Arabidopsis thaliana: one gene and its partner. The protein of the gene in region 2 interacts with the protein of the main gene of each other region in a pairwise test. Each region holds a gene or a part of one and is shown on either strand. Other genes may lie near its edges. The genes, in order: CRF1 and AHP4.

Evidence for each region.
Region 1: the proteins of AHP4 (region 2) and CRF1 interact in a protein complementation assay, tested with the Arabidopsis thaliana proteins (one study listed by BioGRID).

The regions. Positions count from the first base shown.
Region 1 is NC_003075.7:6,794,467-6,798,397, forward strand, and holds CRF1 (cytokinin response factor 1), read right to left. Parts: upstream 1,933-3,931; 5' UTR 1,328-1,932; coding exon 464-1,327; 3' UTR 164-463; downstream 1-163.
Region 2 is NC_003074.8:5,552,394-5,556,324, reverse strand, and holds AHP4 (HPT phosphotransmitter 4), read right to left. Parts: upstream 2,129-3,931; 5' UTR 1,975-2,128; coding exon 1,930-1,974; intron 1,852-1,929; exon of another isoform or gene 1,842-1,851; coding exon of another isoform or gene 1,815-1,841; coding exon 1,684-1,814; intron 1,611-1,683; coding exon 1,542-1,610; intron 1,308-1,541; coding exon 1,236-1,307; intron 1,043-1,235; coding exon 970-1,042; coding exon of another isoform or gene 958-969; exon of another isoform or gene 932-957; intron 855-931; coding exon 807-854; 3' UTR 536-806; downstream 1-535. UniProt on the Arabidopsis thaliana protein: Functions as a two-component phosphorelay mediator between cytokinin sensor histidine kinases and response regulators (B-type ARRs). Plays an important role in propagating cytokinin signal transduction through the multistep His-to-Asp phosphorelay.

The DNA of each region.
Region 1 (3,931 bases), on a different chromosome or scaffold from region 2:
GACACTTGCCAGGATTCGATTCTCCCCCACGTGTAATTCTAAAACATTTGCTCCAAAAGTAGAACAATTATGGTTTGCTAATATTGCTATTTGTCAAATAAACCCAATAAAAAGAAAGATTAACCAAAGCTTTTCACAAATTCGGTGATTCCTCGTCACGTGAGACAACACGTGATACGTCAAAAGACCAAAAGAAGAAAGAAAAGTAGTAAAGCGTGAAGAAACTCGTGCGTGTTTTGCCTCCACGCCGTTCATATACAGACGTTACTTAACGGCTAACGCCAAAAAGTTCACCATTTACCATTAGTTTTATTTAAAAATAAAATCACCATTAATTAAGTTACAAAAAAGTTTAATATATTTAACAAATCTTCATTCAAAAAATAAATCGCCGTTTTTTTTTAATCCTCGCCGTCGCCGGTAACAAAACTTCACTAAACGCCGTTAAACGGCCAGTTATTTCTTAAACAGTTAAGACAGGATCCGACCCGAATAAATCCCCAATATCTTGAAAATGGTCCTCAACGTGCCAGCTGGAGAATCCAGACCCAGACCCGAATCCAAACCCGGATCCAAAACTCATATCCGCAAAAAGATTATCTCCAAATAAATCGCCGCCGAAACTTTCACTCATCGACGTCGAGAAACCAAAAACGTCGTCGTCCGAGAACAACGGCGCCGAGAAATCTGAACCGTTAAAAGACGGCTCCTTTTTAACCACAATCTCCGCCGTCGATACACCGACAAACTCCTCTTTAACCGCAGTAGACTCGCCGGAGAACGGAGATTCGAGAACAGAAACCGGCGAACGAAGACATTCTCCACCGCCAATGATAAAATCCGAAACTCCTTTCACCTCCGTCGAAGCTTCTTCAACATTCTCCGTCACCGGAGGAGGAGGGAAGTTAAGCTCTGCGTTAGGACCACGTAGCTGAATAGCTGCGTTATCGTAAACAATGGCAGCTTCCTCCGCCGTGTCAAAAGTACCTAACCAAACCCTAACACGTCTACTCGGATCTCTAATCTCCGCCGCCCATTTTCCCCACGGTCTTTGCCTCACTCCACGAAACTTCCTCGTCGCCGTCGTAACAACCACTGGAACAGTAACAACGCGCTTCTTTCTCTTCTTCTTCATCGGCTTCTCTTTATCAGAAACCACCGAATCAAGCACCACTTCCTTCACGTACTTCTTAACACGACGTCGTTTTGTAGATAATGCATCAAAATCAACTTCTTCTTCTTCGTCGCTTGACGAATCTGTTGCGTAAGGATCAGTAACAGAGATTCGTAAGATTCTTGGGAGAGAAACTTTCTTCTCTGTCTCCATTTTTTAAATCTCTCTCTTTAAAACTGTTGTAATAGTTTTAACTTATGTGTGTTCTTCTTTGTGTCGTGTGTTTATATATAAAGACCAAAGTTAGGAAAAGTAAAGGGCAAAAAAGGAATAAAGAGAGAAAATTGGTAAAACAAGAGATTGATGCTTTGTAACAAGAAGATTTTCCCGGGAAAGTTGAAGAAAGCAGAGAGCTTTTTTAATATATGCTTATGGAATCAAGAGTTTGGTGAAGGAGGACACTAAAGAAGGAGATGCTTTTTTCTTATTTAGGGATGAAATTTCTTTTAAGAAATATTCCTGGGAATTTTTTTTTGCAGCGAAAAGAAAAAGTTTAGAGCAGAAGAAAAGAGTGACAAAAGATGAAGAAGAAGATAAAGAGAGAAGCAGAGCAAAACATGTAAGTGAAGAGAGTGACTCTGAATAGAACAGAGACTTTTATAGGATATTGAAACGGCGGTTGCGGCGTTTTACAATCCTTTTTTTTGTCATTAAGGGAAACAAAATTTGTATTTAATGACCTTGGAGGATGCGGTTTTAGTCTAACCTTTGACCTTAAGAATTTAAATAAATAGCAGTAATCAAGGGTGGTTAATAAATCTAATTAAATTCTTAAAACCTTTCTACGAAGAATCGCTCTTTTTCGTTCAACGACAGGGGTGTTTTGGTCATTTGCTAACTAAGTAAAAACAAATTAGACCGTTGCGGTGTGCAGGTTTTTTTTTTACTTTTTTACCTTTTTAGCAGTCTCTGGTCTTTTTCTACAGCAGGTTTCTGACGTGGCAGAGACGACAACATAGGATGTTACGTCAAAAAAAAACTAACTCCATTCGACTTGTGTGTCTTTTTAACGTTTTTTTGGAGTATTGATTAAATTTCTCTTGTTTTTGACATGAATATTAATTAAAATTTATTTTATTAAAGTATATTTTTGTCCTTTTTAACACTCTTTATAGAAAAACTCTCTTTTTCACTGCATATTTTCACGTGAGTGTTAAACCAGAGAAGAAACAAAGGCCTTTAATATATTGGTTCTTTTAACGTGGACCGTGTTTGGCTTTTTTCAAGATACGTTTTTCTACAAACAAAATATTAAAGTGTTGATTTGGCCAAAATTACAGAACACAGTAATATATGTGAAGTGAAATGGTAAACTCAAAAAAAAAAAAAAAAAAAAAAAAAAAAGAAATGGTAAACTCATTAAGCCACAATTATAACTTCCGAATCAAAATTATCAAGAAAATACAATCCGCAAAAAAAAATTCGTGATGTTATATACTTATATCTAATCACTTCATTTTTTTTAATCAAAACAACTAAGAAAGTAAAATAATATTTTATTAATTCTAGATTTAGAGAGATATTTTTTAAAAGAAAATAAACGCTATTATTCGGTGTTACTACAAACAAATGATACTTAATAGTGATACACATTTATTTATTTGTCTCATTTTTACTGGAAAGTAATTTGCTTTATAAGAATGAAGTATTTGCCTTATACCCTAAGGCCTAAGCAATATATGGATGTGATTAGTAACATATATGTTATGATTGATTTAATTTGAGGTATGGATGTTATATTCATAGTTAGCTTAAAAATATTGCTAAGTAAGAATTCATTTAAACTTTAGAGTTCGCGTTTTGTTGAGTATTAATGGTTGAGTTACAAGTTTTAGTTATCACTTCTGGAAACTTTATCTTACTATATAGTATTGTGTAAGAAAGCTCATCTTCTGTATACATTGGATGATATACTTATTCATGCTAAGCAAGAACTAAGAAAATAATTTACACAGCAAAAAATAATATTACAATTTATAACTATGTTGATAGCGGCAAAAGCTGAAATCTTTGTAATTCATCACCTTCACGGGGTACACACGACTCTACTAAAATAATTCATGTAAAATCTTGAGTCACCGATATCCACACGTGTCCCTTATGTTTAAATTTTAAAATGTGGATATTGCTTTTCCTAAATTTGGTTAGTATCTCTGACTAGTGACTATATAAACTTTTAGTTACTTATCTTAGCCGATTGGATAAATTTGGCTGACAAGTTTATAATAAAAAAAAAACCACTTCGTTTTAGTTTGTTATCTTGATGTTATTACATAGACAAATTGAGGTTTTGGCCTAAAATCATGTTAAAAAAGACATCAAATAAAACATCAAACCCCATTTTTGAAAACAAGTTAGCTACCCAATCATTTGAGAGTCCAATAAAAGTGGTAGTAATAGAAACTAGGTTTTCAAAGTTTCTTCGTGAGAATAAATAGCATATGATTAAAGGTAATGATGAGCCTTCTTCATGACACGAAAATAAAACAAAATAAGTAATGATGTGCCCTTGGTCCATGTAATATTATGATTATGACAAAATCATAGAGAAAGTTTTTTTAATAGCGGTAAATTACGATAATCGTAATAATGTATACTTAGGTTTTGAATAATGACTCAACCGCACATTACCGTGCGTTTTAAGTAGTAACAACTTTTTTTTAATATATATATATATATATTTTTTTTATTACTATTTAAACCACACCAGATTTTATCTGCAGTTGAACCGTACATTTTCATCGAAGCCTTAAAACA
Region 2 (3,931 bases):
CTGGGCCATTGAAAGAAAACGTTTTACTTTATCCACAAACAAACATTTGATTTATTTATTTGCATTGGTGAGTTAGTTTTTTCATGAAATAGAAGGTCTATGTGATATTCTTAAACGACATCGTTTGAAAAATAGGGCATGTAAGAGAAATTAGATGGAAAAGTGTAATATTAATTGTTTATGATAATGTTATTATTTTAGACTTTTAGCTAAGAATAGTTTGCATCTAAGCCATGGCATTCTTTTTTTTTTAATAATTAGTTTTAGTAGAGACAAATAGTAACATAATGATAATGTTATTTTAGACTTTTACCTAAGAATATTTTGGTTTTTTTTTTCTTTTTTAAATATTTATTAATCAGTACTAGTAGAGACAAATATTAACATAATGATATAAAAATAGGTAAGAATATTTAGGATTTGGACACGGTTCCTGGAAACAAACCGAATAATGTAAAGCTTAGTTTCTTTTTTTTTTCCTTTTGTAAACAAGGTAATGCATTCATCATAGAATCGAAAAAATGCATTTTTTTGGTCCACTCTTTTCTGTATTCCGTTATTAGAGGAAGCCATATGTTACGAGGTAATCGTAGCTATAAAACTCCCAAGGGAAAATTTGGCGATATAAGGGGAAAAACATAGAGACATTTGGACCGTTTATTAACGGACATAATATAAAAGTCCAAAACCTTCTTTATAACGTACATCGAAATATATAAAAATAAAGAGGAACTATTTATTATATAGTTTTGCTACAAAATTCGACGACGATTCCTCATTTATCTCTGTCTCTCTCTCTTTCTCTCTTACTTGGGCCTACGTGCTGTCTCCTTAGGCCCCGCCTGCCTTGCCAACTGTTCATTACAAAAAATTTCACTTCAGCAAATACTATATCAAAAGTGATTGATGATAACTTCTAATCACATTCTAATTATGTAAATTATTAAGCATAATTGATTATTGGCTCGCCTGGAAATAATGTTCAAGCTTCTTTCTCAACGTTGAGTGTTCTTTCTTCAGTTGCTGGAAAGTCCTCAAGCATCTGCAAGTAAGAAAAAGCGAAGAAAACTAATTAGGGGGTCGAAAATGAAGTAAAGTAAAAGTTCAAGGTTCAGCGGATTAATTGCAGCAATTTTAGCCATCTAAACTATACTTATTTTCATTTTGACCCCGTTACTTAGTTTTCTGTTAAAAACGAGAAGCATGAAGGTATATAAGTATAAAGACGAAAGTACCCTTCCGCATTTCCAGCTCTGCAGTATTCCCTAAACGTAGTGCATTCAGCTTTCACTTTACTTGCCCCAATGCTACAAAAAAAAGAAATGCAACATTTGTCAGTATAACTAACGATCATAAAATCTAATTATTTCTGGTTAAAGTAGATTCTGTCATTGAATCCTGAATGAGAATGGAAGTAATTTTAATGTACTTTTGCGTTACATTCTTTTATCTTATAAACATTTAAGTATTCGCATTTCTTTAAGTAAAATTATTTCTTGAAGGCGTAATTAGAATAGTCAAAAACTAAGGGGGGAAATTACCTCGTGCTGCTTCCCTTAAACTGATGCATGTAACTATCCAGCCGATTGAAATCAAATGATCCTCTTTCCCTGCATTGTAAAAATGATTAGAAAACTGAAAAAAAAAAAATATATATATAATAGAAAACAAAATAATACTCACAAAGCTTGGTCAATGTTATTGATTAACCGAGCTGAATCTTTGAAGTATAATGCGGAAACTTCTTCAACAAAATTAGGGTTTGCATCATCTTGGAGCTCTTCTAACTCCATGAATTGTTCGTCGAGATATCCCTGCATGCATTTTCCTATATTAGTCATTTTCTAAATTATATGAAGAAATTCATATATAAGTGGTACGACGTACGAAGTTATATTACGAAAATACGAAGAAACAAACGACCAAAACCTGATCAAAGAGGGACTGCTTGATGAGTGCCACTTGCCTCTGCATGTTTGTTTAAATTTTGAGAATAGATTTAACTATAAGTGCGAAAAATCAAAGTGATAATTCGTTTTTATCTTAGGTAATTCGAGTGGCAATGCAATACTGAAACGTTGGACATCTGAGATATATATAGTGAAATATAGAATAAATAAATAGATCGTATTACATCAAAAAAGAGAAAGTAGAAAAGAGAAGAGAATATTTGTAAAATGATGGGAACCTGCAACGTAAGGGCATGAATGCTGTATTCTACTCCAGACATAAAAAGAAAACGTGTATTCGTTATTATCAGCTTATTTCGATGACACATAGATGTATACTCAGTATAATTTTCTATAACTTCTCTATAAAATATATGTATAACACAAATGGTAGGTGTTATCAAATGATCATATATGTGTGTTGATATATAAGTTTGAATGTATAGTAATCTTTTATATATATAAGATAGTGTTTATGTTAAAGTTTTGAATAAGAGATTTCAATTAGAGAATTCCTCAATGTTGATTGTTTAATTAATAGTATGGTCCATTATGAAACTTAAACTACTGTGGATGATTGATCTATTGCCCAAAAATATAACTGAAATGCATCTTAATTAATAAGTAATCAAAGGATCTCACGAATGGGAATACGACTAATATTATATATATACGTACATCATAGAAACATGTAAAATTTCGAATATAGAACCTAAAAGCTAAACGTTGATACTATACGAAACACACCTTTGGAAATGAGGCAAATATATACTAGTAAAATGTATGTGGACACGAATTTTCCTGAAAGTGAAAAAGAAAGTTATAGATTGAAAAAGTATACAGTTCAAGAAAAATATTCTGAACAGACCATTTCCGTCTTGATTAATTACTGAATTTAATTCATGTTTTCACAAAGTTTTCTATAATATCATTGTCTTTTCTTTTTTCTTTTTTTTTTTGTTATTTTTAAGGTTGTGATTTCCTGATTTTAATGGTACCAATTACGTACACCCACAACATTCAACTATATATGTACATATGAATTTACGAAATGGGCAAAAAAAAGTTGTACTTTTGGAAGAAAAAATTGTTGGAATCTAGCACACTAGCAAACACTATTATTGCTTATCTTTTGTTTCAACAACAGAAAGCAATACTAATTCGAAGTATTTTAGTTTGGGGTCCGGAATTCAATTACTAAGTAAGGATTATATCTTGTGATAAACATTAAACGACATTTTTATATTAAAAACATAGTCAAGGTTAGTATCATGATCAAGACCAGAAATAAATAGATTTCTATTGGGGTTTTCTGTTTGATGTGTTTTCTTTCTCTTTGACCGCTGCAACAAACATTGAAAAATTAGATGCAAATCTTTTCCAAGTTTCTTCCATTAATGTGTGGAGGTGAGAGGGTGTTGTGTGCCAAGGAAAGGCTAGTACTTGTGCGGATGCGTGTGTTTCCTACTTCTATATTGTAACAAAAAAAGAAAGAAGTAGGAAACCAAAAAGAGAGAGAGAGAGAATAAGGTATACATATATCCAACGAGTAAAAAATAAACCATAAATTTCTGTTATTGGAAACAAGGAACAAGTATCTAAAAAGGAAAAACTGAAGAGCACATAACAAGTGTGATCTAAATGATTGACACAAAGACATAAAAGATCTTTTTATCATTACAGCATAATTTGTTCCTTTCTATATCTCTTTCTCTCTCAGACAAGCATCGTGAGATCGAATTACAGAAGAGAGAGAGATTGATCATATACAAAAAAAAATCAGCTTTATTTATTCCTCCGCCCACCAAACCAATCTCACATAAAGGACTTGTCTACTACATATTTTCGGTGGAAGTGGGTTTAGAATCTAAGTTTTATTATTGCTTGCTGTCTCATCTCGATTATTCTCCTTAATTCCGACCTCCCCTCTAATAACAAATATGTAATACCACAAAATTAGAAGAAACAAAACAATTCATTCC